Nothobranchius furzeri: one gene and its partners. The protein of the gene in region 1 interacts with the protein of each later gene in a pairwise test. Links are inferred from orthologs where the notes say so. Each region holds a gene or a part of one and is shown in the gene's direction. Other genes may lie near its edges. The genes, in order: ntaq1, ncoa5, apip, capn3a, necab2, paraneoplastic antigen Ma1-like and gnmt.

The links.
Region 2: the proteins of ntaq1 (region 1) and ncoa5 interact in a two-hybrid assay, tested with the Homo sapiens proteins (3 studies listed by BioGRID and IntAct). The two-hybrid records come from large-scale screens. The link is inferred for Nothobranchius furzeri from reciprocal best matches to the Homo sapiens genes NTAQ1 and NCOA5.
Region 3: the proteins of ntaq1 (region 1) and apip interact in binary tests that used the Homo sapiens proteins (3 or more experiments, as listed by UniProt). The two-hybrid records come from large-scale screens. The link is inferred for Nothobranchius furzeri from reciprocal best matches to the Homo sapiens genes NTAQ1 and APIP.
Region 4: the proteins of ntaq1 (region 1) and capn3a interact in binary tests that used the Homo sapiens proteins (3 or more experiments, as listed by UniProt). The two-hybrid records come from large-scale screens. The link is inferred for Nothobranchius furzeri from reciprocal best matches to the Homo sapiens genes NTAQ1 and CAPN3.
Region 5: the proteins of ntaq1 (region 1) and necab2 interact in binary tests that used the Homo sapiens proteins (3 or more experiments, as listed by UniProt). The two-hybrid records come from large-scale screens. The link is inferred for Nothobranchius furzeri from reciprocal best matches to the Homo sapiens genes NTAQ1 and NECAB2.
Region 6: the proteins of ntaq1 (region 1) and paraneoplastic antigen Ma1-like interact in binary tests that used the Homo sapiens proteins (3 or more experiments, as listed by UniProt). The two-hybrid records come from large-scale screens. The link is inferred for Nothobranchius furzeri from reciprocal best matches to the Homo sapiens genes NTAQ1 and PNMA1.
Region 7: the proteins of ntaq1 (region 1) and gnmt interact in binary tests that used the Homo sapiens proteins (3 or more experiments, as listed by UniProt). The two-hybrid records come from large-scale screens. The link is inferred for Nothobranchius furzeri from reciprocal best matches to the Homo sapiens genes NTAQ1 and GNMT.

Annotation. Positions count from the first base shown.
Region 1 is NC_091759.1:9,346,619-9,350,169, forward strand, and holds ntaq1 (protein N-terminal glutamine amidohydrolase), read left to right. Parts: upstream 1-1,356; 5' UTR 1,357-1,450; coding exon 1,451-1,515; intron 1,516-1,704; coding exon 1,705-1,804; intron 1,805-2,015; coding exon 2,016-2,066; intron 2,067-2,148; coding exon 2,149-2,297; intron 2,298-2,367; coding exon 2,368-2,492; intron 2,493-2,580; coding exon 2,581-2,723; 3' UTR 2,724-3,051; downstream 3,052-3,551. Other genes in the region: ribosome biogenesis protein bop1, read left to right, coding at 55-162, 249-402. UniProt on the Homo sapiens protein: Mediates the side-chain deamidation of N-terminal glutamine residues to glutamate, an important step in N-end rule pathway of protein degradation.
Region 2 is NC_091743.1:58,541,034-58,545,075, reverse strand, and holds the start of ncoa5 (nuclear receptor coactivator 5), read left to right. Parts: upstream 1-1,242; 5' UTR 1,243-1,355; intron 1,356-1,935; 5' UTR 1,936-1,993; intron 1,994-4,042. UniProt on the Homo sapiens protein: Nuclear receptor coregulator that can have both coactivator and corepressor functions.
Region 3 is NC_091749.1:48,967,922-48,971,989, reverse strand, and holds the start of apip (methylthioribulose-1-phosphate dehydratase), read left to right. Parts: upstream 1-1,268; 5' UTR 1,269-1,392; intron 1,393-1,915; exon of another isoform or gene 1,916-2,009; intron 2,010-2,025; exon of another isoform or gene 2,026-4,068. UniProt on the Homo sapiens protein: Catalyzes the dehydration of methylthioribulose-1-phosphate (MTRu-1-P) into 2,3-diketo-5-methylthiopentyl-1-phosphate (DK-MTP-1-P).
Region 4 is NC_091758.1:17,065,434-17,069,724, forward strand, and holds the start of capn3a (calpain-3), read left to right. Parts: upstream 1-1,491; 5' UTR 1,492-1,624; coding exon 1,625-1,876; intron 1,877-2,125; coding exon 2,126-2,195; intron 2,196-2,711; coding exon 2,712-2,830; intron 2,831-4,291. UniProt on the Homo sapiens protein: Calcium-regulated non-lysosomal thiol-protease. Proteolytically cleaves CTBP1 at 'His-409'. Mediates, with UTP25, the proteasome-independent degradation of p53/TP53.
Region 5 is NC_091744.1:83,491,762-83,495,703, reverse strand, and holds the start of necab2 (N-terminal EF-hand calcium-binding protein 2), read left to right. Parts: upstream 1-1,142; 5' UTR 1,143-1,260; coding exon 1,261-1,587; intron 1,588-3,942. UniProt on the Homo sapiens protein: May act as a signaling scaffold protein that senses intracellular calcium.
Region 6 is NC_091745.1:26,674,385-26,677,223, reverse strand, and holds paraneoplastic antigen Ma1-like, read left to right. Parts: upstream 1-1,421; coding exon 1,422-2,339; downstream 2,340-2,839.
Region 7 is NC_091758.1:37,143,877-37,148,160, reverse strand, and holds the start of gnmt (glycine N-methyltransferase), read left to right. Parts: upstream 1-1,484; coding exon 1,485-1,693; intron 1,694-3,378; coding exon 3,379-3,506; intron 3,507-3,579; coding exon 3,580-3,693; intron 3,694-4,284. UniProt on the Homo sapiens protein: Catalyzes the methylation of glycine by using S-adenosylmethionine (AdoMet) to form N-methylglycine (sarcosine) with the concomitant production of S-adenosylhomocysteine (AdoHcy), a reaction regulated by the binding of 5-methyltetrahydrofolate.

The DNA of each region.
Region 1 (3,551 bases):
TCTTTGTCATTGTGCCAGTTCTAATAAAGCTTTTTGATCACTTCTTTCCTTCAGACACCATAAGAAAGCAGTGAGGGGTGTGGCCTATCACAGAGGTTACCCTCTGTTTGCCTCGGCGTCTGATGATGGATCGGTGATCGTCTGTCACGGGACTGTTTACAAGTAAGACCACAAACACACCCTGAAAATCTATTCATAACAAGACTTATAAAAGACAGGATATTAAAACTTGCCGCCGTCTCTTCCAGCGACCTGCTTCAGAACCCGCTGATAGTACCTGTAAAAGTTCTCAGAGGTCATGTGATCACCCACGATCTTGGTGTTCTGGACGTGATCTTTCACCCCACTCAGCCGTGGGTCTTTTCCTCAGGAGCTGACGCCACCATCCGGCTCTTCACCTAAAGTGTTTTAACCAGCAGCAGCTCTGTGTGTGTGTGGGAGGAGTCTGACCTCCCTAATGGACTGATTACCAGGATACCTTCTTCTTTTTTTTTTGTTTTGTTTTCTGTAGTTTATTTTATTGTTTTCAATAAAATGTATTTTATTGTTTTCAATAAAATATATTGTTCTTACAATTTGTCTCTGTATGTTAAAACTAGGAGAATTATTGATTCTTTTTTTAAAACCTACAAAATGTAGTTTTATTTGTCTGCCTTCATTTTAAAGGAGTTTGTGTTGCGGTTACCTTTTTGAAAAACAAGACCATTTATTACAGCTTTCAAAAAGGAAATAAAATTATCTAAAATTATCAACATAATTACAGCTCTAAAGGTTTTTTTTTTTTGTTTGTTTGTTTTGTTGCCAGAGGCAGAAATTAGGACTATCCCAAATATAAAGTATTTGTGCTTCAAATTTCATCATTATGGATATTTTTAACTTGAACCAAGTTTTTGGGTATTTTGTACAAAGCTTGTTTCTAATAGTAAAAGTATTTGTAATAACCATGTAAATGCACGACTGCGCAGGCCTGGGAATATTTGTTGTATCTGTTGTTTAACCAGGTTAAAGGCCTCTCTTAAGAATAAAATCTCTAAGAATATCAGCTTTCTTTATGTATCAGTTGTGCTGAACACAAGCGGGAACTATGTTTAACGAAAATATTCGGGTACCAGGGTCTGCAAAATGTTCTTAGAATATTTACTACAAACAATTTTCTTTATAATGAAGTTGGTGTGACAAGAGTTTTCAACCATGGGGACACATTTCGAAGTGACACCGTCGGAGCGGTTTCGGTGTAACACCGAACCGCGAGTTCTGTTACTGGTAAATCCATTCTGTTACATCATGAAAAAAACTTCAGTTTGTTGGGTTTTACATAATTATTCGTCAAATTTTGTAGCAAAAAACAAACAATTTTCTTTATAATGAAGTTGATGTGACAAGAGTTTTCAACCATGGGGACACATTTCGAAGTGACACCGTCGGAGCGGTTTCGGTGTAACACCGAACCATGAAGGCAGTAAAGGATCGAATCACACCGAGTCGTGAGTTCTGTGTTTACACCAGCTGTTACTGGTAAATCCATTCTGTTACATCATGATTAAAAAAAACTCCAGTTTGTTGGGTTTTACATAATTATTCATCAAATTTTGTAGCAAAACGCAGTTGGCTTAAATGGTAGCTGCTACATTCTTATGGATATGATTTTATTATTATTAGATTATTTTTGCTGTTTGATTAGTGATGTCTTAATTTGCTTTGCAGTGAGGAGAATGTGTGGAAGTTGTGTGAGTTTGTTCAAACAGCGAGGACTGCTCCACTGGAACAGCTCTTTGTGGTTTTCATCTCTAATGACAACAGAATGGTGAGAAGATCAGCTCTGAGAAGTTTGTCATGTGTTACAAAACCCTTTAAACATATTTAACTCAACAGATTTAGTCTCAACAGGTCTAAAGTTTAACAAATCATCACGAATCCCCTTAAATTTGCCAAGTTTGTATAAAGAATCAACATTTTCACTAAGATCTGACTTCTGCTGCTGCTGCTGATCAGTGATGTTATTTGTTCTCCTTCAGGTTCCTCTGTGGAAGCAGAAGTCTGGACACGCTGACCATCCAGTGATCTGGGTCTATGATTCTCCTTCCTGTTAAAGTGGCCTCAGAGCATTAAAATAATACATTGTTAATCATGTTTTTTTGGGTGTTTTAGGACTACCATGTGATCCTGCTTCATGTGGATCCTCAGTCGGAGGTTCTGGTTTATGATCTGGACACAGAGCTGTCATTCCCATGCAATCTGAGGCTTTATGGCAGCCAGGCCCTCCGCTCAGACCACCACATCAAACCTGAATATCACAGGTAGCACTGCTGAATTACACAGGTAATGCACTGGAGTGAAATCACCAACACCTTCTCATATCTGTGACAGGAAGTTGCGTGTGATTCCTGCTGAGAGCTTCCTCTTGAACTTTGCGTCTGATCGAACTCACATGAAGAACCCTGATGGGAGCTGGAAGAAGCCCCCTCCCTCTTACCCCCCTTTAAAGACCACTGGTAACAAATCAAGTTAATGTGGAGCATGTTTTCTGATTCCTGTCTTAGGAAAAGGTGATTTTGTACTTTTGGTGCATTTCCTCTTCAGGGTGTCAGATGAACCTGGATGACTTCATCAGCATGAGCCCAGCTGTTGGCTGGGGGACAGTTTTCAGTCTGAATCAGTTTCTACAGAAATACTTAGGTTGCTCCTCCACCACCTCTTCATCTTCATCATCAGCTCAATCCTGATCAGCATCCTGGCAGCTGCTGTTTTGTGATTAGCTTTTATGTTATTATGAACATTTAATCTGAAATGATTGAGAGACTGAGACAAACATTGAACTGAACTTTATGTTTTGGGCTGAGCTGCATCTCGTTTGACCTCTCTTGAGTTTCACCTTGGCCTCTGAAGCTCAGAGGAAACCAGAAACATGACGACGACAGCGCTTCAGCCATGTCACAGATTCATCTGGAAACTGAAGTGATCCTTCATCACACACGCCTGTGAGAACTTTGAGCATCAGCACCTTGATTTCACCTGAGTTCCTGAGAAATAAAAAGATTTTATTTAATCTTTGATCGCGTTGGATTCTCTGTCTCTGTAGCGCAATGATAGAATAAAAATTAAATGTATAATTGTAACTTTTGGTGTCAATTTGAATCTTGGTTTCCAGAATATTTTAACAATTAAAACTTGGTGAAATTATGCAGATTCTAGTTAACAGCAGATTTGTGTTTGGGTATAAGTTCTATTTACCGTTATAGATGACTGGTGGAACTTGTGCAATCACTTTCACCTGTCATATGTTTGTGTTCAGTATGGCAGGAGTGGTTAGGACACTGGTTTAAACAGGAGGATCAGGCATGTTTGGTTTCAAATTCTTTTCTGGAAGAAGCTCAGGACAGCAACATCCAGATAAAGTAAGCAACCTGTTTTATTTTATCAATCAAACAATCTTTAAGATTATTTTCTTTTGAGTTCTTTGTCCCTTTGAGAAATGCACATCTCTTTAGAACAAACATGAGCGACAACAACAACTCTGACCAGGACGGGGGTCGGCAACCAGCGGCTCTGGA
Region 2 (4,042 bases), on another chromosome or scaffold:
TCTCAAAATTCCAAAAGAAGAAAATAAAAACACAAGTAAGTTGAAGAAGAAGAAGAAGAAGCATACATTAAATTAGCTGGCACATGAGTGCACATGAGCAAATTTTACATTCCCAAAACATAAATTGCACACATTATTACAAAAACAGCAAGACAAGATGTTTTAAAAGAGTTGATATTACTGCTGATCCTCTGGGTCCTTACCGAGGAGCAGAAGTCCAACCGACGAAAGATAGCAGCTCTACTGATACGAACATGCCCAAGAAGTATATCATCCATAGTAAAAGTTAAATATAAACTGTTAAAGTCAAAGTTCATGTAGATGAACCTTTTTATTTTAAGTTGCACCAGAGCACAGCCATTGTCATGGTATTGGGTGAGTGGCTTCTAACCAGTTCCTCAAAGTGTATCTCTGCAAAGGTGCAGTGGTACGCCTTCACTCTGTTGGGTGATTGGTATTGTAAAATTGATATTGCTGGTCACCAAGATGCAAGGATGTTTCAGCTCAGTGGTCTAGTGGTATGAGTGCCTTGGGATTGGGAGATTGGGGTTTAAATCCCGGCCGAGTAAAAGACTTGATGCTTTCTTGCTTGACACTCAGCAATAAGGGTTGGAATGGGGGTTAACGCCACCAATTGATTTCAAAGTATTTTATAAATTACTCTGTGGAATGGGACCAGAATGCATGTTGGATCTCCATCAGGTATACCAGCTCTGACATTATGAAGTAGTCAGCTGGTAGAGCCTCAGGACAGAACAAAACAGGGTGAACTTGTTTCTTGCTACTATACACACAGATGTAATCAGCTTCCTCGTGAGCTCAAATGTGCCACAACTCTAGTAACTAATCAAAATTGAAAACCTTCATGTTTTCATCAGCTTTTGAATGACTGTTCTTATGCTGAACATTCTGCATTATATTTGCTTACCCTTTAATCTTTTAAATTGCATTTTCTGACACGTTTATTTTAATGTTCTTGCTATCCTCGCTAAGCAATTGCCTCTGTGGCTGAAATGCGTTATATAAATAAAGCTGCTTTGTTAAACACAGATAAATACATAGATTTATTAAGTTTTAGTTGTTGAGTAGTTTGTATAAGTTATGACGTTCTGCCCCTTAGACTAACTATGCCGTTAAAAATTGGAATTTTCTAAGCGGTATATTTAATTTTGAAGGAATCTACAGAAAAAGCTACCCAAATCAGCAAGCCTGTTATTTGTAGTTCGTTGGAGATTACAAGCGCGGCACACTCGCGCATGCGCAATACACAGAATAGACGGCGTAGTCGGGGAAGACGGCTAGCCATTTTGGCGTCAATACAGCAAATCGAAATATAAATTATTTGCTCGTCGAAGGTAAGTGGAGAGCTGTACAGTCGATTATAAAGTAAATAATGGTCTTAGCGATTCATATAGCTGGTACAGCAATTTTAATATTAAAGTTGTTTGGTTTTAACCTCCTTGTATCCGTGTAAGTAACTAGCTAGCAGGCTAATGCTAGGCTACACGAGGTTAAGGCGCATTTTCGTAAATATAAACACAAACGTGGATGAATCTGCAAGAAGCAGCAAATGGGATGTTGTTATGTTGTTCCGTGGTATCGATTAAAATGTAAATGTAGTTATTTGTCTTATCTCTGTTCATGGCGCACGTGAAACGCCATTTGCTACACACACTACCACGGACATGAACGGAGGCCATTAACCGGCCCTATCTCCTGGTTTCAGTGGGTTGATGAAAATTGTTTGAATTACTTCTGTGTCGTAATTTTATAAGATGTAGATTAATTAAATTTAGAACTCGAGTTCATACACAGATTGATATAATTTACAGAGTTTATAGAAATATCCAGAAATAAGCAAAGTTAACGTTAGTTTTCTCTTCTTGCCCACATTTAAGTTTTGTTCCCCCCTTTTCTTTCTCTTTCTGCTGATAGGCATTTGGACCATTAAACCATCGGGCACTGAATACAGATCATCTGCCTTCAAGTTAAGGTATGGTTAGGGTCTGTACCCTATAAATACATACATAAATAATTAACTTAATGTTATTTTTTGGAATATTCTTTTAGTTGTGCTGTATGGATGTTTTGACTGAAAATATCCAACAATTTATTTTAAAAGCATTTCTAATTGCGTTTTACATACCTTCGGAATAAAATATTTCCTGAGTTTGAGCAACAAGAATTTGTGATCTTGTTGATCTTAAACTTCTCGCTTCATTTTGACAAACTCGCCTGCGCTGGAGTGGACTCTGCCGTTTCAAGAGAAGAGGATCTTTTAAACAAATGTCTATTCTTTGCGTTTCAATTGAAGTGAGTCCAACAAACGAGTAAAAAATTTTCATCGGCTGAATACATTTTCACTAACTTAATAAACTTGTGAGGTATGGTGTTCTAGGGCTGCTCGATTATGGCAAAAATTATGATCACGATTATTTTGATTGAAATTGAGATCTCGATTATTTAAGACAATGTTTAAATTAATGTTGGTTTTTATTCTGTCATAAAATTGCACAGGGCACAATCAGGACAAAAATAAACAAGAAAAAGAAAGAAACAAGATGATCACAAAAACAAATCCTGATTCCTAGTATAAAAAGGCTAATGCACTTGCATGTAGTTTATGATCCAAAGAGTTTAGGCTGAGGTTTAACTCATTTAAGGGAGACCCAAATACTCAACCCAGGGTTTCCCTTACATAGGCGTAGCCCGTGGCGGCCCGCCACGGCTGAAATCCCACCGCCACGCCTACAAGATCCCAAGTTTTTTTTTTTTTTGCACTGTTTCCCAAAGAAGCAGCGGGAACTACTATGTCGTCGCTTGTGATCACAGCCGGTGGGCAGCAAGGAGCAGGCAGGGCTAGGTGAAGTTACAGCATAAGTTACTGAGTTTAAAATTAGAAAGGTAGCAGTGGATATAATGCTTTTTGGTTTACATGTTTCAGTAGCATTAAGATAAACAAGTGTTGACGATCTTGACAGGGTTTCCTCCAGTGCTTATTATGCCAGGTTCTCCTCCCCCCACCAGGTTAAGCATCACTTATTCATGTAAAATTTATTTATTTTTTCATGTCTGACTTTAACCGCATCTAATACTGTATTACGGCGTGAGCTCAACAGCGACAACTTAAGATCGATGTGTGAGCAGCGTGAGAGGTCGGGTGTTTTCATCTGAACCCTTACAACCTCCAGCAGGCTACGCTGCACTATTGACGTGTTAGCGCACGGCGCTAACAACTTAGCGACGTGACATGTCTCTGAGAAAGCGTAAAAACACGTTGGACGCTTCTTCTGAAGCGGGAAAATAACACTTCTTCTTAAGCAGAGCACGACGTCGCCTCGGCTCGTTCACAGCCGAGCCGGACTGAGCTCGATAACATTGACCCAGCACAGCCACTGGGTCGTTGGAGCTGCCCCGTGACTGCCTGATGGAAAACCAGCAGGTTTTATCAGACTCGTAAAGTTTATTGTTTTTGCTGGGGACCCCCTGTATTTTACCGCTCCCTCCTGCAGTCTTCCCCTATTAAAATTTAAAATGATTCTGTAAATTCCGTGTATCAATAGAAAAAATATCTGCCTCTGCCAGCTGCAGTAAATGTAGTCTCCAAATAATAAATAAGAGGTGCATTCGTCTGTGGATCTCCTTTGATCCGCATGAGTGATATTCTCAGCACCAGAACAGTGAAGCAAAGAAAGATTCCCGAGTTTGTTAGTAATTTTATTTATTAGGTGCATCTAACCTGTTCTATTTTTCTCTGAAATGAGATCAAATCAGTGCTTCTATGGGTTGTCTCCACTCTGCACTGGAAAATTTTTACTTTATTTAGAGACTACACTGCAACCAATATGTTGCAAACGATGACAGGAAGAATTATACAGTGCATTTATAATATAAAATAAATGAAAACATACAAACATCAATATTTTAGTGAAGTTCACAAATTTGCATAATTTAATTCTCTCCAGCAGTGCTGTAGGAGTGTGGCAACGTGTCGCTCAGAGATATAAATTATTATTTCAGTGTGAGGAACTTTATCTATTTC
Region 3 (4,068 bases), on another chromosome or scaffold:
AGCGAATGCATGAGACCATATCTCATGCAGACTAGTCCTGTGCAGAGGAGGGAAAAAAAACAGTCAATTCATTCCGTTCCACAGAATACAGGCAAAGCCAACCTGAACAACCTGTTCAAGACTGTCTCATTTGTTCTCAGTGTGCCAGGCTCAAATGCTTTTGTTGAAAGGATCTTCTCTGTTATGACTAATAAATGGTCAGACTCCAGAAACAGATGCAGCGAACTGATCAAAAATGAGCTTCTAATAACTGTAAACTGTGACCTGTCATGCAAGGACTTTTCTCTGGCTGTGCAAAATGACAAAAAAATGCTTGAGTCAGTCAGGAGCAAAAAAAAAAATATCCATGGAAAAACTAGGTGTTGAGTCATGACATCAATTGCCTCATATCATTTGGAATCAGTTTAACTCCTATAAAGCTGTAATGATTTCGGTTCAGGTTTATTAGTTCAGTTTCTTTAAGGATACACTACAATACTACTGCTTAAATGTTGAAATGTATACATGATTTGAACAGTTTCATCAGTATCATGCGTGTTTCCGTGCAAGCTGCATATTTAGATAAAGCTCTGAGTTCTGTTGAGAGAATCTTCTCTGTTATAACTAAAAATGTTCGGACTCCAGAAACAGATGCAGCACTGAACTGATCAAAAATCAACTTCTAATTACTGTGAATTGTGACCTGTCCTGCAAGGACTTTTCTCTGAGTGAGGAAGTGAAATGTTAGTCAGGAGCAACAAAAAATATCCATGGAAATAATACACTTTGTGTCATGAAATCTGTTGCCTGATATGATTTGGAATATATTCGTTATATATGTTTGCTATAAATGTTCAAGCTGTGATTGTGTTCAGGTTTATGAAGTTCAATTTCTGTAAGGATTCACAACAATACTACTGCCTAATGTTGAAATGTATACATAATTTCGAACCTTTTACTGTTTTACTTTTACTGTTTCCCCAGTATGATATTCATGCATGTTTCCATTCAAGCTGCATATTTACATAAAACTCTTGAGATTATCCTTCTAAGATTGTGTTCTGTTTTTGTATTGGAGTTTTTCCAAATACCAAAAAATGTCCCTTATTTAATTGCTGTGAAAAAGTTGGCAGCCCTAACTCTCATGTTCCAGTCAAACTTTGCTAAATGAGATGATCCATGCTGAAGTCCCTCAGGAACCGTTTCTGGTCCACATAGATTCACCTTTTGTAATGGTTTCATCTTCACAGAATGAAACAAGAGAATATTCATTAGATTTTATCGTCTTTGGCGACCGACACGCCCACCTCGACCAGGCACGTTTTTGTTGACGCACGTTGATGACTTAAAATCAGCCGCGACGTTGGCTGTTTATGTTGTTTTGTTCAACAGTGATTTAATACCTTAATTTCAGTAAGTTTCCGTGTTCTGTTATTGGTTATCTTTGCCACGTGGACCGCGGTTTGGATTCTGCTGTTGTCAGTCCATGTAGAAATTGGGTTTGTGACACGAACTGAACAGTTGCATGTTAGCGTTAGCCGTTAGCACAAAGCTTACGTCGCCTTTAATAAAATGTACCATAAACATTTTCCATGCTAGCAAACTCACACAGTCTACATCTTAAATGTTCAAATGTGTCCAAGCATGAGTTTGGGCAATAAAGGCGTATTTGGAGCTAAATATATGTGAAATGTGCATCATAAATAGCCATTTGTTTATTCTCCCTGTGTAAAACTAGCGTCATGTTTACGTAGAAGCACTGTCAGTAAACTGCGCGCACATACCTCGTCTTTGTTTCTGTAGGGCTATACCAGAGATAACGGCTCTATATTGATCGGTTTATGAATAATCTAGGATCTAGTGAATATGGTAACTATTAGTTACGATCCTTATTTGTGAAGGTGTGTGTGAATGGGTGAATGAGACTGTAGTGTAAAGCGCTTTGGAGTCCCCTGGCTCTGAAAGGCGCTATACAAGTGTGGGTCATTTATCATCCTCATCATCATCTATTTCCCAAGTTGTTGCAGCAGGTATAATGAGGAAAGCTGGTGTGACTTGTGAAACTGAGTTCTATTTAATTTTCTAGTTTATTGAATTTCACACAGTTGCATGTATTCTAAGGCTAATTTATTTACATCTGGATGTTCATTCTAGGAACTGAAATTGAAGGAATAGGTATAGAACTAATCTGCTGTATCCTGTCTGGGAGAAAATACCATGTTTATTTAATTTTTAATTTTAATTAAACATTAAAATCACTGGACACAACTAGTGGTGAAACTGAGCAACATGATAACATATACAATGTAAAAAGATTAATTGATCATATATTCAGGAGCTAAACATTTGCATATTGGATTTGTGGCATTTGACTGCTCATCCAAAAGTGTCTGTTCTGACAAGTAGCGTTTTTCCACCGTTATGCTCAAAGTCTTTTCTGTGGAAACTGGCATCGTATGCAAAGTAGATCTTTGTGAAAACTTCCTCTGCAATGCAGGCTCACCATGCCAGGAGCTTGTTAGCCAAGTTTATGGTCATATTCTTCTCTGACTGGATAAAAAGCCAGTCAATATTAAAAATGTGGAACACACTATTTATTATTTCTGATTATAATCAGACACACTGCATTTTTCATGCAGGCTGAACATGAAAATAGTTTCCTACACCCATGTCTTCCATTAGCTTCTAGAAACTCTAGGATTTGAAAATTGTGACAGATCTGGATCACACTGTCACTTACCATTCATAAAGTCACCCAACTTGAGTTTCAAAGGGGAAGGCTGTTGTTGGCTTAGCGTCCAAGAAACAGAATGTCCTGACTAGTAAATGCTAACCTTTAGCATTAGCAACTCCATTATCCAGCAGAACACCTTCAGCCTTAAAGGTATAGCAATCAATTTTTCCTGGTTGAATCACGTCAACCATTGGTCCGCAAAAATGTCAATTTCTTTTGAAGCCAATCCTAGGTTAGTTTTCACGTCCTGCGCATGCGTACTCTGTGCACCCCCTCACTCTCATGGAAATCAGGAAGAGGCTAACGCGGTCCAGTCTGCTCCCCACAGACGCCGCTGTTGCCGGTTTTTCTGCTCGAGAGGCAAGCTAACGTTCTGCATGCTATTTTTAGAGCCTCTTATTACACATTACAGCCGGCAGCTACTTATAAACAGGTGCTGGGAGAGTGTTGTGCAATGTGGAGAGGGCGGTTCTTTCCTAAAATTCAGAAACATCGATTGCTATACCTTTAAGTTATTTGTTACGATAAAACATCAATGATGCAGAGCAAATAGTCAGTGGTAGTTGCGTTGCTATTAGTCATTCAGAGACATGATTCCAAATATCAGTAAATAAGACTCCAAATAATGCCTTGTTAAGCTCTCTGATGGTGTGGCCTTTAATTTCTTCCAGTTTTGACTTTTATTAAGCAACATTGACTGTACATTAATTAATCAAGATACACTTGTTTTAATGGTTGTGCAGGCCACCATTCAAATGGCTTTTAAATGGCACACCATTTACATGCTGCTTGGCACAGCTAAGTATGCCAGATTGTAAATGGTGCAGACCTACTGCTAGTCCCACTCAGGGAACCGTCCGTTTAAAATGTTCTCATTTTACATGTTTTGTTGACTAGCTTTAACTCTTATACACTTGACTGTTTCTCTTCATAGGGGGACATTTATGTAAGCCTCTTCATGTTTTTAAGAATAATAATATTTTTTGTTTCGTAATCGTATTAGTGGTTTTCTCTGTAATCACTTATGACACTTTTTCCAACAGCTCTACTCAGTGCAACACAAATCAAATTGGTCCAGCTGAGCAGCTTGTCCATCATTAATGGGCTGTGTTTGCCATTAGCGTTTCATGAACAATTTAAAACTGATTCACCCTCAGTTCCATCAGATGTTTTTGGATGTGTTTTAGCTCTTTGCTTCACCTCAAAACACATTACTTGTACATTTACTTCCAGCTTCTGCCATGATGCCCAAAAAAAAAAAATTCTTCTTCTTTTTATTGACTGTCGGTGAACTGAAAAATCTAACTGCTAGTCTTTATACGAGCTGTCGGCACATTAATCAGCTAACAGCGTTG
Region 4 (4,291 bases), on another chromosome or scaffold:
GGAACACATTGTATTAAAGGGAGAAACTGACTGGATAATATAACTATACAGAGAATTAACAAACCTGAAACTAGACACCAGAACAAACATTAAATCTTCAGCTTGGGGAACTAAAGAGACAGGAACCAAAGGAGGGGGAATCAATGGGGAGACTAAAACTACTGGGATGGGATAACTAAGTATGAAGTGACTAGGGGGGAACCTGGAGGGCGAACTGGAGGGGGCTGGGGACCAAAAGGACACAGAACATGACAAAGACAGAAAAAAAACAAGAAAAAGTAGATTTTAGATGTAAAAAAAGTCAGATGACCCACTCAGTTAAAACTAGGATGTTGTTAATGATGGAGCTTTAGATCAGTGGTTCCCAAACTTTCCAGCTTCAGACCCACAAAATAGCTATGAAGACATGTGACCCCAGATTCATCTGATTAGACAAGAGAAACATGCTTAAAAAGCTAAATAATTCAGGAAGTAAGCAAAACCACTCTAGCTCTTGTTCACTTATATCAATTTATGACACTTTAGTTGAGTTCTTGTAACAATTATGCCAGAAATATAGCTTCAGCGATTTCTGGACATCATCTCAAGACCTCCTGAGTTGATTTTGGTGACCTAAAATGGGGTCCCACCCCTAACTTTGGGAACCACTGCTCTTGATGTTTTGGTCAGATGTTGAAAAGCAGGTGATGTAGCGTCTCACCTGGCTGTGGAGGGAGGACTCACCCAGACTTTTATTCCTCTGTTAAACTGGATGGATTTTAATGAAACTCACACAGGCTCTTAACCAGATGGTCGTCTACAGCTGATTAATGTTTGGAACCAGTCAGAATCAAGATGGCCACCCCAGCTAAGCAACATTAGCAAACATAAAAAGCTGTTGCTTTTGTGGATCTGATGTGTGATTTTGAGTGAGATCGTGTTACCTCGACCACAACAACTGAACCTCCATTGTTTTTCTACCTGAGACATGAAAGGTAGTTCTCTGCGTGGACTGCTGGGAATTTATTTGTTGGTGCTTTTAACCGGTGTTGTTTTTTTAATGATGGAAAAAAGAACTGAAGTGTGTTTTATTCCAATAAAAATCATTCAAAGCTTTCATTTCTCTGGTAGTCCATTCTCAGACAGGTAGTGATCACCTGTCTTACACTTGCCCGGATTTGTAGTTAAAAGGAACGTTCCTCCTCCCGTAGCGTCAGCCTGCTCCCGTTATGCTGAGACTGCTCGACGCTGAGCTCCATTGAGAACAGGTTTAAAGGGCTTGAATGCCTTCTGCTGAGGCAGGACTTCCTCTGACCTCTCTTTACACGCCCTCTGGTGTAGCCCGCTGGCCTTTGTGTCACCCAACAATGATGGCACCAGAGCACAGGCAGGGACACACCTTTGTTCCATCAGCCAATGGGAATGCTCTAAACGCACACCGTGATCTGTGAGCTTTTATGCATCTGTACATGCGTTTGCGTGCGTGTGACATTTACTCTGTGACGAAGGGGAGGGGGATGTCACCTGAAGAAGGAACCAATCAGATATTAGCTGTTTGGATTTATGCCAGAGTCTTTTGGCTTGTAAGACTTTCACACAGGTGGTCAACGCCAGACTTTCCCCCCCAAAAAATCCTCGAGAAAAGATGCCATACACACCGTCTGGCTTTTTCTGTGACCGGCTGATCCGGGAACGAGAAAGGAGAGACGGGGAAGGTTCTGTGAGCAAACCCGTCCGCTTTAACGGTCAGGACTACAACGCGCTGAGGCAGGAGTGCCTGCAGAGGAAGGGTCTGTTTGAGGATGACTCCTTCCCAGCCACCGTGGAATCTCTGGGCTTCAAGGAGCTGGGACACAAGTCCAACAAGGTCAAGAACATCGTCTGGAAGAGACCCAAGGTAGGGGGGTAATGAAGGGATATGTTGATCACGGAGTTAACTAAAGAGAGAATGAATGACTAGTGTTGATGCACAGCTTCAAAACCGGCATTTGTGATAAAAGAAGCTGGAGCTGGAATACTTGTTCATCCTGCACTGGATGATTGGAAGGGAAAGCCAGGAATCGTTCTAGTTGACTATATTTTGACTAAAGTTTACCTTAAAGCCTCATGAGCAGTCTGGATTCATGCTTGTTTACGTCTCCTACAGGAAATCTGTGAGAATCCTCAGTTCATTGTAGGAGGAGCCAGTAGGACGGACATCTGTCAGGGAGATCTGGGTAAGTTTGTTTTAATCAGACATCAGATCTTCAGATTGATTTCTACAGAAAACCATTTTTTTTCATTAACTGTGACAATCAGGTAGGATTGTTTTAGGTGATAAAGGGAGGTGAAGTGAGGGATGAGGTGGCCAACTAAAGTAGGTTGGCACCGGCGTCCGTCCCCTGCACTCGGCCTCCTGATATTGTGCTAACTCTTTTAGACGGGATTCCAACCAGCAGCACTTCTCTTTGTTGTTTGGCTCAAAGGGACTGACAGGACAAAGGTCCTGGACAACACTGTTAACCGTACTCTGTTGAAAGACTTACATTGCTCAGAGCAGCCTGTCACACACCTGGACACATGCAGCGTCAGCAGCAGCTTTTATCTTCTACACCACTAAATAGTCCCAAGATTTCCCTCGTTATTAGAAAAGGACCAAGGAACACATCTGAGTCCTTACAGCCACATTAAGAGGACCAGTTGGAGATTTTCAGACTGAAAGCACTGAAATGGTTGAATTCTTTCCCGTTTAGGTGACTGTTGGCTGCTGGCTGCTATCGCCTGCCTGACGCTCAATGAGAAGCTTCTGTTTCGAGTTGTTCCTCAGGAGCAGAGCTTCTCAGAGAACTACGCTGGACTCTTCCACTTCCAGGTGCAAAGTGCTCATCTCTTACTGTTGTCCCTGATCATTTTCATAAATAGTTTCCTAAAACCCATGGAGGTAAAAAGCGTTCAGCTAAGGATCAGTGTAAATAAAGATGTCCTGGCCCCTGCTGCTCGGCGCTGCTCAAGATTTTCCTTTCTCAAAATATTTAAAGTCAACAAATGCACGTTCCTCTTGTAATGTGCCTGGTCCAGATGGCTATGGGAATAAATTGATCAAAATAGCTTTTGATGTTCTAGCTTCACCCCCTCTCAGTTATTTATAACGTATCCAATAATAACTGTAAAAATGAGACATTTACAATCTGGATTCAGAACGCTTTTTTCCACTACTGCTTTGGTAAATGGTAAATGGCCTGTATTTGTATAGCACCTTCTTTGGGTTCTACAACCCCCCAAGGTGCTTCACAACACAGTCAGGCATTCACCCATTCACACACACATTCACACGCTGGTGGGGACGAGCTACGATGTAGCTACAGTTGCTCTGGGGCGCACTGACAGAGGCAAGGCCGCCGAGCACAGGCGCCACCAGTCCCTCCGACCACCACCAGCAGGCTAAGCGGGTTAAATGTCTTGCCCAAGGACACAACAGCAGAATTATCTGGTCAGAGCTGGGGTTGAACCTGCAACCTTCCGATGACTGAACAACCCGCTCTACCTCCTGAGCTACTGCTGTGTGCTGCTTTGTTGAAACTCACAAATATTCTCTGGTTTTGAAAGCAGCCGGGCTACGGGTGCTATTTTTCTAGATCTTACCAAAGCATTTGCACTGGTTGATTACTACTTTCGCCTGGACAAACTCTCTTTTCCTGGGTTATCCAGGGCCTCTGTACTTTGCTATAAAATGGTTTAACTCAGTTTTTCCACAATCGCCATCAGTTTGTTTTCTCAGGGGTGTTCCGCAAGGATCAATTCTGGGGCCTTTTTTAAAATTGTTATTAATAATTTGCTTACATGTTGTACTATGTGCTCGGTTCAACAATATGCTGATGACACTAACTTATGTTGCTCAACGCCTAGTGTATTGGAAGTTCTAGTCTAACTTTAACAAAGTGCAGTATTGGTTGCGATATTATAAACCACCTTTAAACAAAGCGAGATCTTACTTTATGATCTTTCAGAGAATTAATTCCACCGCACCTGTGCATTGCGAGCTTAACTCATATTTCCTAGATTTGTCACAGTTGATCCATACGGACAAAGAAGTAGGCGTTTGATTTGAACCTGATCTGTCTCTTACGACCCACTAATAGGGTCGACTTCTGTTTTAAAACTATTTATCTGTCTCTTAACTGCTGGGACTTGAGGGTGAGGATGTGTATTGTTATTCAGATTTTATTTCTGGTAGATTGTGCAGATATATTTTACCAGAATTCAACCACTTCCTGTCTCCACTTTCTTGATGTCATATATAATAGCTCATGTCTTTTCATCTTGTGCTGTTCGT
Region 5 (3,942 bases), on another chromosome or scaffold:
GCTTAGAGACGAGTCCGCAGGCAGCCACACCCCTAACCCCCACCGCTCTCCCAATGGGGAGGGCCGGCAATTCGTAAGAATGCCAGGGCCGAATTTTGGTCCCAGTCCACCCCTGCTCATTACTCCACTTCCAACAACCAGCGCAATTTACGTTCCAGTAGCTTCATCTCTAAAGTTATTCCCAAAGCTCGCACCTCCTCTGGCCGCTCCTCATTCCAGTTTGCTGCTTCCAACGACTGGAATGCGCTGCAAAAAAATCACTGAAGTTCACACGATCCATTATCTACCTTCAATAATTCATGGGGATCAATAGTTTCTGATCAATGTGCTTCTGAGTACTTAAAGACAGTTTTAAATCTGTTTCGACTGATTTTACACATTATATATGAGAACAATCCTAACTGTTTTATCAGAATTTTATCTCACCTGTTTTGTCTGTGGTGTAAAGCTAACTGCTGCTGCTTCCTCTTGGCCAGATCGTCGTTGTAAAGGAGAATGAGTTTTCAATCCACTCATCCATTTAAATAAAGGTTAAAATTTAAAAAATGTAGGTGATTAATGTGGTTTAATTCATTTGTTCAGTAGCAAGAAAACTCCTCTTGCCACTGCACGCTCAGTTCCACATGGGGGCAATCATGTCAAGTGACTGGGTTTTAGTTTCCTGCTGTCATGGGGCCGCTGAGATATATAGATCTATTTGTCTTTTTACTCACTTCACAGCCTTTCAGTTATTTTGTCAACTTCCCAGCATGTCTTAATTTGTCCAAACCAGCTGCTTGGTGCTGTTGGACATGTGGCGGACTGAAGAAAAGTCTCTCCAGCAGCCGGAAAGGGCTGGGCTGGGGAGCCTCTCATTACTAAAGGTTAGATCTGTCACATCACACATGCACATAAAGCTCTAATGAGCAGCTGGAGTGACAGTTCAGGGGACTCCTTTTGCTAAAGCCCTCTGATCCTCCCTTTGGGATGCAGCACTTCCTGCGGTCTAAAGGAAGAGCATCTTTGTTCAGATTACACACTAAACCTTAAAGGGGGAAGAAACAGCTTTTGTGTTGCTTTTTCCCAGAGGAGCGATGCACGTCCAAAGGCTTCATCCTTAGATGCACCAAACAGAAGTGTTTAAGTCATAATTCAGATGCTACTGGGTACAGGATGGATGCGGGTGCTTCTGGGGTGGATGCTGTGATGTAAGAGGAGGTGGGGGTGGGAGCGCCTCTCTCTCCCCCATAGAGCGCAGCATGAGCGCTCCGCAGCAAAAGGATGTGTGAGCAGGCAGCGCGCTACTGTAGGGACGGAGTCCACAAACTGCTGAACAAAGAACAAGCCAAACTTCGAGCCCAGGAGAGCCGAGAGCAGCCGAACCCCGTAGCCGGTCAGGACAGCGAGTCCGCGACGGCAGCGCAGTCCGGAAACAGCGGCGCCCAGCCCGGTGGAATCGACGGGCTCGTCCGCTGGATCGTCACCAAAATGAGCGACAACAAGAACGTCTCCAGCCGGGAGTACGCCTCCAGCAAGGAGGAGGTGGCCGTGGCCCAGGAGCAGTTCTTCGCCCCCGAGCCGCGGAGAGGCATCTCGGTGATTCTGGATGTGAGTATGAGGCACCGGGAGGCGGCCAGCCCCGCCAGGAGCGGGTGGGTGCATGGAGACATCCAGGGAGCGGTGCGCACTTACGCACAGACAGTTTAGGTGTCCGGGATCAAACCGGCGTCCCTCTCCTCTGCATCTGCACCATATCAGAAAATTCAAACTTTGCACGTTTTAACTGTCAGTCCACATAAATCCTGAGGCTCTCCAACTGCGCTGCAGACATGTTCCTGTGTTAACCTTCAGAGTGATAACTGCGTGCCTGTAGCATTTCTGGTGTTCAGGTCAGCCCAGTTTTATTTTACTGTGCTTTAAAACGAGTTGATCTCAGTAGAAAAAAAGAAAAGAAACGTAGAAACACGTTGTGTAGACCTCCCCCCCCCCCCCCCAACTTGTTATAAATTAAGATTTTTCAAACGTTTTTTTTTCTTTTTTCCTCTCTATCATACCATACCACTTTATTTGTAGAACGCTCTTAACACGGCACTACAACCGACCAAAGCGCTGGACATAAAGACAAATAAATAAAAAACAAGCTAAAATAGTCGTGCATATCATAAGAAGTAAAAAGGATAAGAGTTAAAGAACAACAAACTAAAGCCAATAAAACAAGTAAAACCAGAATATAAAAACACAAATTTTAACTACCTGGCAGCTAAAACTGTTTCCAGCTGAGTCTCTGACACCAGCCTTTGAACTTTTTCTGACATTTTCTTCTTTCTGCATAACTTTGACCTTTCAAACGTGAATTTTCTGGCCCCTTTCCAGCATATCTGACCCCAATATTCTTACTTTACACCAAATGGGCTTCCTGGTGTGTCCCTGAATGCAGCATTTCCCTCATTAGACCGACTTGTTCTCCTTCTCTGAGTCTACCGTGAACCCATTTATTATTCCGTCTCCTCTCTTCCAACAGAAGCATATTCCTAAGGTGAAGGCATGCCTCCTCTTTGTGTCTTTCTCTTTAGTCGTGTTTTTTTTGTCTCTTTCTGTTGTAACTCTTCACCATCACCTCCTCCTCCTCCTCAGTGAGACTCTTTCCCTCCTTCCCAAGCTTCCCTGACTCCAGCAGCTCCAGCTCTGTTCTGAGAAGCTGAACATGGCCCAGGGTGCAGATGCAGAGCAGCTTTTCAATTGGAGTGCGGCTCTTTCAGCTCCTGTTGCCCTTTATTTAAGAGTTTAGTCACAAAAATGTCTTGATGAGTTTCTGTGCAATAATTTAGCTGACTAAACTAAAAAAAAAAGTTTTTGGGTCGTCACGATCTGTTTGCCCATTAACTTCTGACTTTGGTCACTACTGTTAACATTCATCTTATTCAGAAGATCATGTCTTTGAAAAGCACATTTTTTTTTAGATTTCCTGTAATCTGACTAATCCAACCAGACCAAATTCAAAATATGTGACTAAAGATCACATCCTCTCGTTTTATTCTACAAATATCTTCTTTAATATTGTTTTAAAATGCATCTCATGATCACTCAGCACGTCTTGTCCTGCCGGTGGCTCGTGTGTCACTCATCCTCAACCTCCATGATGAAAGTATTCTAAAACGTTGAAGGTCCTCGGAGGGGGGAGCTTTCCCTAAAATGATTCAGATTCACTCCCAGCTTGTTCAGCTGCAGCTGTGGTTGGTTCGGTTTGGTGTGGTAAGCTAACTCCGGTCCAGCTGTGTGGGATTCAGTCTGATCCGTTACCAGTTATTCACCAGCTGGTTTCTGTTTTCCCAGCATGACTCTTCTGTCAGCTGGAAGGAGGTTTATGACACAAACATTCACTATTTTATAGGTTTCCCTCCTTAAACTCCTGAAAACGGGAATCTATGGGTTCCATAGAGGTTTTTATTTTTAATTTTCTGCTTAAATTATTTCTTGGAGGCAAGAATAATAAGTAGTTTCCACTGGTGAGAAACAACATTATTTTAGTGACCCAAACAAGAAAGAAGAAACCCCAAAAGTAAGCCCTGAGGGACACCTTGAAAAACAATTACACTAAAGCTAATTTAAATTATTAATAAATGTTTAAAGAAATTACAGATTTGTGAAATAATCCAGTGTTTAGGTGTTAACATTTATTAGATGAGGCTGTTTTCAGACACACAATGCTTCAATTTAACTCTTTAGGCTTGAAATATGAAAAACTAACGATTGAAAATACTGAGTTTAAAACTAAATAAAACAATAAGATATGGTGTTACTTTAAGAAATACAACAAGATTAAGAAATAGTGCTTGATGTGTCTCAGGTTAGGACTTCATACCTGGTGGGTTACTGGTTCAAACTGGTTTGATCAAGTACTTTTGTGAATAAAAATTCATATTTCTGTACTAAGTTGTTGCAGAAAATCTATAGGAACTCACA
Region 6 (2,839 bases), on another chromosome or scaffold:
GGTGAGTACAATTAGATGTGTTTTTGTAATTGAAATGTCTTTTTTACACTACAGTTACAAGGTCACAACACACAGATTAATCAAAAGATAAGGCAGAGAAGGAAACAAAGGGGTGTGCAAGTGTATGTGTGCAGATGTACATGTGTAGCCTGGTCTCAAATATCTATTCTAGACCCTACAGGTTAAAAGGATATAAATATTGTGTAAAGCCTTTATTGTAAATATTTCATATATTTGAAAAAACAAGGAGTTCAAATGGTTAAAAATGTGTTTAAAATCACAATAAATAGAAGTCAATCATAATTTGAGTGTTCATGGAGTTATAAGTAACAATGAAACTAAAGGTTTATCTAATGTGAAACAAGGAAAACTTTGTATTGTTTCAAGTTGTTTTACAAGTTCATTTTGGGTTGTCAATCTTGTATTTTCTTTTATCCCATTGGTTGATGTAAACCTACTGTCCAATCAGACGTAAGGGAGGCGGGAGCTAAGTGAGGCAAAAGAAAGAAAAAACAGCGAAGCTAGTGAGAGTCGGCAGCAGCACGTTGCGGGAGGAGGTTGTGTACCAGAGCTAATGGAAGAATAGTGAAATAATAGCCGTGGATGCAGAGTCTACGTTCCTGTTATGGACTGTTTTACCCTGTGATGAGTGAGTACTGAATGTGGAGTTAGCATTGAGCTTAAACGGAATGTATAAGTACTTAAAATGTATGGTGCTAATCGCGAGTTAGCATGTTAGCATTTTAGAGCCTGTAATAGCTATGTATGTCGAGTACGTAAGATACAGCTTATTCTGTGGAACTAAATAGTAATCTCTAATGCACAGTGGACCGAGAGGAATTCTCTGGACTCTTCTGCTGTGGATAGGAGTTCTGTGTGGTTGTTCCAGTGTACTCAGCAGCCCGGGTATGCCGCTAATTCCGACCACCTTGCCGAGTGGAGGCCGCATGGTCACCAACCAAGACTGCCCCTCCGTTTGCCTTGCACTTAGCCCAAAGGATTCATGAGTAGACCTGAGCACGTGTGTTTTGTTTTCTGCTGGTTATCAAGTGAAGCGGCCATTTGTTTGTTTTCTGGCCCAACGAGCCCAAGCAACGATCAGGCCTGCAACGGTTTCAGTGAATGAGCTCACAAAGGTTAAAACTGGTTAGTCATTGTTTCTCCTGTTTACCAATAAGATTAGTTAATGTACCCAGGGCCCCGCTCATAGTACTATCACCATCTTAACCGAGGGTTAATCCAGAGCTACTTGAGTTGGGTGCTACACATTTGGAGGCACCGCTGGGATTGTTGTTGTTTTATCTACATTTTAAGTTACCACTAAATCTGCTGTAACCTTAAAGTAACTAAGAGTAACACTGGTCCTAAAAAGCAACTTCAATTAATCTTTTTTTTCCCCCTACAAAGTAACTTGTTAAACTATGGCCACTAAAAGTGATGTCTCACAACCGAATCTTGCAAATTGGTGCAGAGGTGAAGGGCTCGATCAGGCACATGCCATTCTAGTTGTCGGAGTGCCTGAAGAGGAGGACCTATCCACAGTAGAAGAAACACTCGAACAAGTAAAAACCTTGGGCAAGGTAAGAGTAAGAGGAAAAATGTTTGATGCCAATAATCAAACCCTGACCATGTTATGTGAATGCTGTGAAGCAGTCGATCCTACCAAAGTTCCGCCAGAGTTGATTTCCTTTAAGGATGGAAGTAAATGGACAATAGTTGTTGCAGAGCAAGAAACGAACTCCGACCTATTCACAGAGAAGTTGGACAGATTTCTGCGTGATGAAGGGAAAACAATGGAGGATGTTCAAAGACTATGTGATCCTAGAACTCCATGGAACAGCAGCCCTGAGTCAATCATTCGGGTGGTAGGTGATGTGTTGCAGTCCAAGCCAAATGAAAGCAATTTATACCGTCGTTTTAGAATCTTCTCAGGAGTCTACCCTACTCCACCTGGTGAAGACAACTTGGATAGCTGGCTAGAACAAGTAAAGTTCATGACTGATGAGTATGAGTGCTCAGATAAGGAGAAACGCCGAAGAATTATTGAGAGTCTCAAAGGGCCAGCGCTGGAGATCATTCAAGCAGTGCGCATGTCTAATCCCCTGGCAAACCATGTGGACTGCATACAGGCATTGGAAAGTACCTTTGGTACCGCAGAATCCGGTGAGGAACTGTATCTCACATTCAGAGCTATGCATCAAAGACAAGGGGAGTGCTTGTCTAACTTCTTGCTGAGACTGGAAAGATTACTGAACAAAGTCGTGCAAAAAGGAGGCCTACAAGTAGATGAAGCCAACCGAGCAAGGCTTGAGCAACTCATTAAAGGTGCTACTGAATAAGACTTCATGCTGCTTCATCTAGGTCTTAGAGGTAAGCGAAGTGATCCCCCGACATTTTTAAGTCTACTGAAAGAAATTCGAGAAGAAGAGGAGCGTGAAGCTGCAAGACAAAAACTGAAAAAACCAGCACAGAGACAGCACGTGCATGCAGTGCAAGTAGCAAGTGAAACAGACTCCAGAGATTGTCAGCAACATGAGTTTCAGTCCGAAATTCAAGTGCTAAAAGAAAAGCTGAAAGAGCTCAGTAAGCAGTCTCATTCTACAGAGTCAAGCCACAAAAAGATGTCCAGAGAAAAGAAAAAAGAGAAATCAGACACAAGCAGCGAAGTGCAACAGTTAAGAAAAGAAGTCAAAGAGCTGAAAACACAGTTAAGTGTCATGTCGGTAACGCCACAACATTATGCAAAAGAGAGAGGGCACTATTCTAAGTTCAAAGCGGACTTCAGTCCAAAGTCATCTACCTTTAAGCCAAAGAGTAGTAAAGAGTCAGATAATTTCTG
Region 7 (4,284 bases), on another chromosome or scaffold:
GGGAAATTTTGAGCCAGATTCTCTAAATTCACACACATCCAAATCTGACGTAGTTATGTGATCTGACGTGAAATCAGAAAATGGTTTTTCAGTCCGTGGTTCGTGGGCCACAGAGAGGCTTGTGTGGGAACCAGAATCCTTCTCTTCGTGGAAAACCGATGGTTCCACGTCTCTGAGTAGACTAGTTGCTATTTCGGGTCCAGTAGCGATAAATTCAGACTCAGGTTTCCACAAAGTGGATGAACCGTCTTCTATTTCTCCATAAAAATATTCAACATCAATTCTGTTTGCTTTCAGAGAGAGAGAATTCATCCCTTCATCATCTATAACCGATGGTTCGACGTTTAAGCAAAGAGAAGTTGGTTTTTTGAGTCCAGGGCTATTAAAATCAGACTCTGGTTGTTCTACAGAGGATAAATCCTCTTTTTCTGAGTCTCCATAAAAATATTCATAAGCACTTCGAACCGCTTTAGTAATTAGAGCACCTGCTACGAACCCAGTAACAGCAAACATGGCTGTACGGGTCGTTAAGAGGTTACCGTGTCCACGCATCCTTCCAGCAAAGCTCAGCTTGACTGACTGACAAAGGTGGTGCTAGCGCGCTATTTATAGCTGCGTCACAAAGGGACGTCAGCTTGATGACGTCACAAAGGGACGTCAGCACGCAGACGTGCGTCTTCAGCATTTATGAGCTCTTGGAATCACGTGTTAACCTCAGATTTTTTCATGTTTTTTTTTACCTTAAGCAACCCCAATGACTGGTGGTTACATGTACACATTATTATGTAGATTATTACAATAAACAAAATTAATTTCACATTTTTATTAGATCTCATAACTTCCTCGTGAGCATAAAGTGGGTGTAAAACATTAAAAGCGGGTTATTTAGATTAGTAAACTAGAATCGAAGTGTTTTCAGTGTGCGTTTGTTTAACATAAGCCCGATAAAGCAGGTATGAAAAAATTAAAACCATAATTATTAACAAGTGACTTTGTCAGATATGTTTTTACGTGTAGTTATTTCTCTATAACCTCAAACACGGTCACGTTCAGCTCTCGTGACGCACGTCTCTTCCGGTTATCTTCAAAATAACTGTAGCTTATTGTGAATACAACATTTTATCATATTATTGTGATTTTAAACAAGATTAGAAACAGAAACTGAGATTAATAAAGTTTTCACCTGACAACAATCCTGTAAGGCTAAACCACGGAAACGTTCCTGTTAGACGTTAGCCACGCTGCTGACGTAAACCGGCAGGGGGAGGGCGTGGTTGCTTGGGTTCATCCAATCAGAGAGTAGGCGTGTTTCCGCCGCGGCGCGTGATTGGCTTACAGTCTGCTGGCAGCGCCGTTTGTATAAAACAACAACAGGAATCCGGGTTAGCATGTGGAGCGCCAGCCAGTTAGCAAGTCTGTAGGAACCAGAACGCCTCAACCCGAGTAAACGAACAGGTACCAACCCGACCGGAACCAGCGGCAGTATGTCGGTAGACAGCGTGTTTCGCACCCGGTCTCTCGGTGTGGCTGCCGAGGGTCTTCCGGACCAGTACGCCGACGGGAAAGCAGCCAAAGTGTGGGAGCTGTACATCGGAGACACCCAGAGCCGAACCCAGGAGTACAAGAGCTGGCTGGTGTCTCTGCTCCGCCAGCACGGGGTTCGGAGGGTTCTGGACGTCGCTTGCGGAACCGGGTAATGTTCCTCCAGATTCGCACTCGATCATCCACCCACAGAATAATCTGATTTAATGCTTAGTCAGGTACAGGTATGAAGTCTGACATGCACTGGCAGGTTGATTACAGGTGTGGCCGTGGTTCCGGGTATGAATAATCCTGCGGAACCCTTTATTAAAAATCACAAGTCATCGTGTAGTAATCGTGTTTTTACTGAAGTCTGAGAAGGAAACTCCTGAAGGATTTCCTTAAAAGTCTCCTAAAGATGCATCGATTCTGCTTTTGAGAGTAGATATCAACCAAAAACCCATTTCTGTACAGCTCAGATTGGCCGATACCGACTTTTCTCTAAATATGTTTGAGATGAACTTAAAAATTTAGTTTCTATGATTAAAAACTTAAACATGAAAATCTTTTACTGCTAGCATAAATTAGCACTTAGCAATAATCGGGTCATGAACCGGGAATAGGTCGGAATTTCTTTGCTGCTCGCAGAGATGCATTCAGGGACAAAATAAATCAGACTTTTGAGTTTCAGGCTGCTCACACAATGAGGATTCTCGGTGGTCCAAAGTGTGGTGCGTGGGCCGTGTGTGATTCCAGACTGTTGCTGCAGAACAAATAGATGTTTTGTTACAGGTTTGACTTTTGTGGAGTTTGAACTCGCTGACCCTCCTGACGCTGGACTCAATCCGGATTAGTGCTGAGAATAATGAGTGAAAGTTGCAGCTGTGGGTCCTGGTCCGCTCAGGTCCAGAAACCAGACTGACTGTCTTCTGGAGCAGGTGTTGGGCAGTTTGCAGGAGTTGTGGCTGGTTCTGTGCAGCCTGTTCGTTGCTTCTGATAGTTTATCAGTGTGGGTCAATGTCAAGGCCACAGACTCGGGATTAGTTTTTTCCTGACAGAAATGGACCTACAGCTGAAACCAGAACCACTCCAGTCATTTTCTTATTAAAATCCTTCTAGTAAACATCCTGCAGCTTATCTCATGTCACACGCTCAGAGGAAGTGAACCAGCAACCCGTCCTCAAGCACAATCCATAGTGGAGTTTCTGTCTGATCAGCAGGACGGAGCCGTGTAAACACGAGTGTGTTTGCCATTTTTATCAGTCTGAATAACTGGCGCTCCAGCTGTTAGAACCCAAACAGAACCGCTGCAGCTTTTCTGTTAAATTTCAGCTTTGATTCCGTTTGGATTTCTTCTCTGAATGGTTACAGATTACAAACGGAGAACTCTGGTTTAGTTTAGTCCTGCTTTGGGCCCGGGGTTGTTAATCATTGGACTGAGCTCTTCCTGGTCCCGGTTCTGATGAAACATGTTCCTGTTCTCCGTTTGGCCTTGGTTCAGGTTCCTCTTCCAGGTTTTTTTAGAACAACTGGTCTCTGGTTATTGGTTGTCTATTTTTACCTGGTAGACATTCCCTCCTAAAACACCGGTACCAAATCCGTTCTGAAAAGCTTCCCACGAAGACGGACACGGGTTTGGATCGAGGAGATCTGCAGGATCGCCTGTAGGAAGATGATAAATATCAAGACAGTTTATTCATCTGATTTTATAAATAATAAAAAGAAAACGCTACTCAGCAGTTATTTTAACCTGGAAGTCTGCTTTTACTTTGAAAGCCACATCAGTCATTTTATCCTGACTTGTTTTGCAGACAAGTCATTGCGTGTGTGTTAAAAGAGCTTGTGTTTGTTTTGCAGGGTCGACTCCATCATGTTGGTGGAGGAGGGCTTTAACATGGTCAGCGTGGACGCCAGCGATAAAATGCTCAAATACGCTCTGAAGGCCAGATGGGACAGAAGGAAAGAGGCAGCATTCGATCAGTGGGGTAAGAAAAACCTCCTTTAGAAAACATCTAAACCTCATCGGACCTCATGTTCTCCTCCCTTCTCCATCAACAGTAATCGAAGAGGCCAACTGGCTGACGTTGCCTGAAGATGTTCAGAAACCAGGAGATGGGTTTGATGCCGTCATCTGCCTCGGAAACTCGTTTGCTCACCTACCGGACTTCAAAGGTAGACGAACAAAGGAAATCTAACAGTAGAACGTTTCAGGTTACCAGACTGAGGGACTCCAAACATCTGGAGGTCTCCTCCATAAACCAGAGCTCAGATCCTTTTTTCTATCGAGACACGTCTTCTATAGATGACCACAACCCAACTTAACATCGTGTTTAAGAAGAAAGCAGCGCCTCTTTGGCGAGCTAATTGCATTCAGATGAACCTGGACTGGTGTGAGATTGTGAAACAAGTTTATTTAAATGTCGTTGAAGGTTCATGAAGAGGACAAGTTAACATTTTATTAAACTAGATCCAGTTCAGAAATTACGATACGGCGACCTCTACACTGGAGTTGTTATTAAACTTTATTAAAAGTAATAAAGTTTTCATTAAACCCAAACCAGATCTGGTCTGGTACCTGAAGTCTGAAGTGAAAGTCAGATCTTCCCGTGTGGCTTCTGGACTTTCCAGAGCTAGCTTGTGTCAGCATTAGTAACGCTAAGCAGAAGCTCGCTGGCGTACTACCAAAAGCTTTTCCTGATGCTGGCGTCTTCCATGCCCGGATAATCCGGCGTACGTCCTTCACCGCGCTCCTCAGCACGTCCT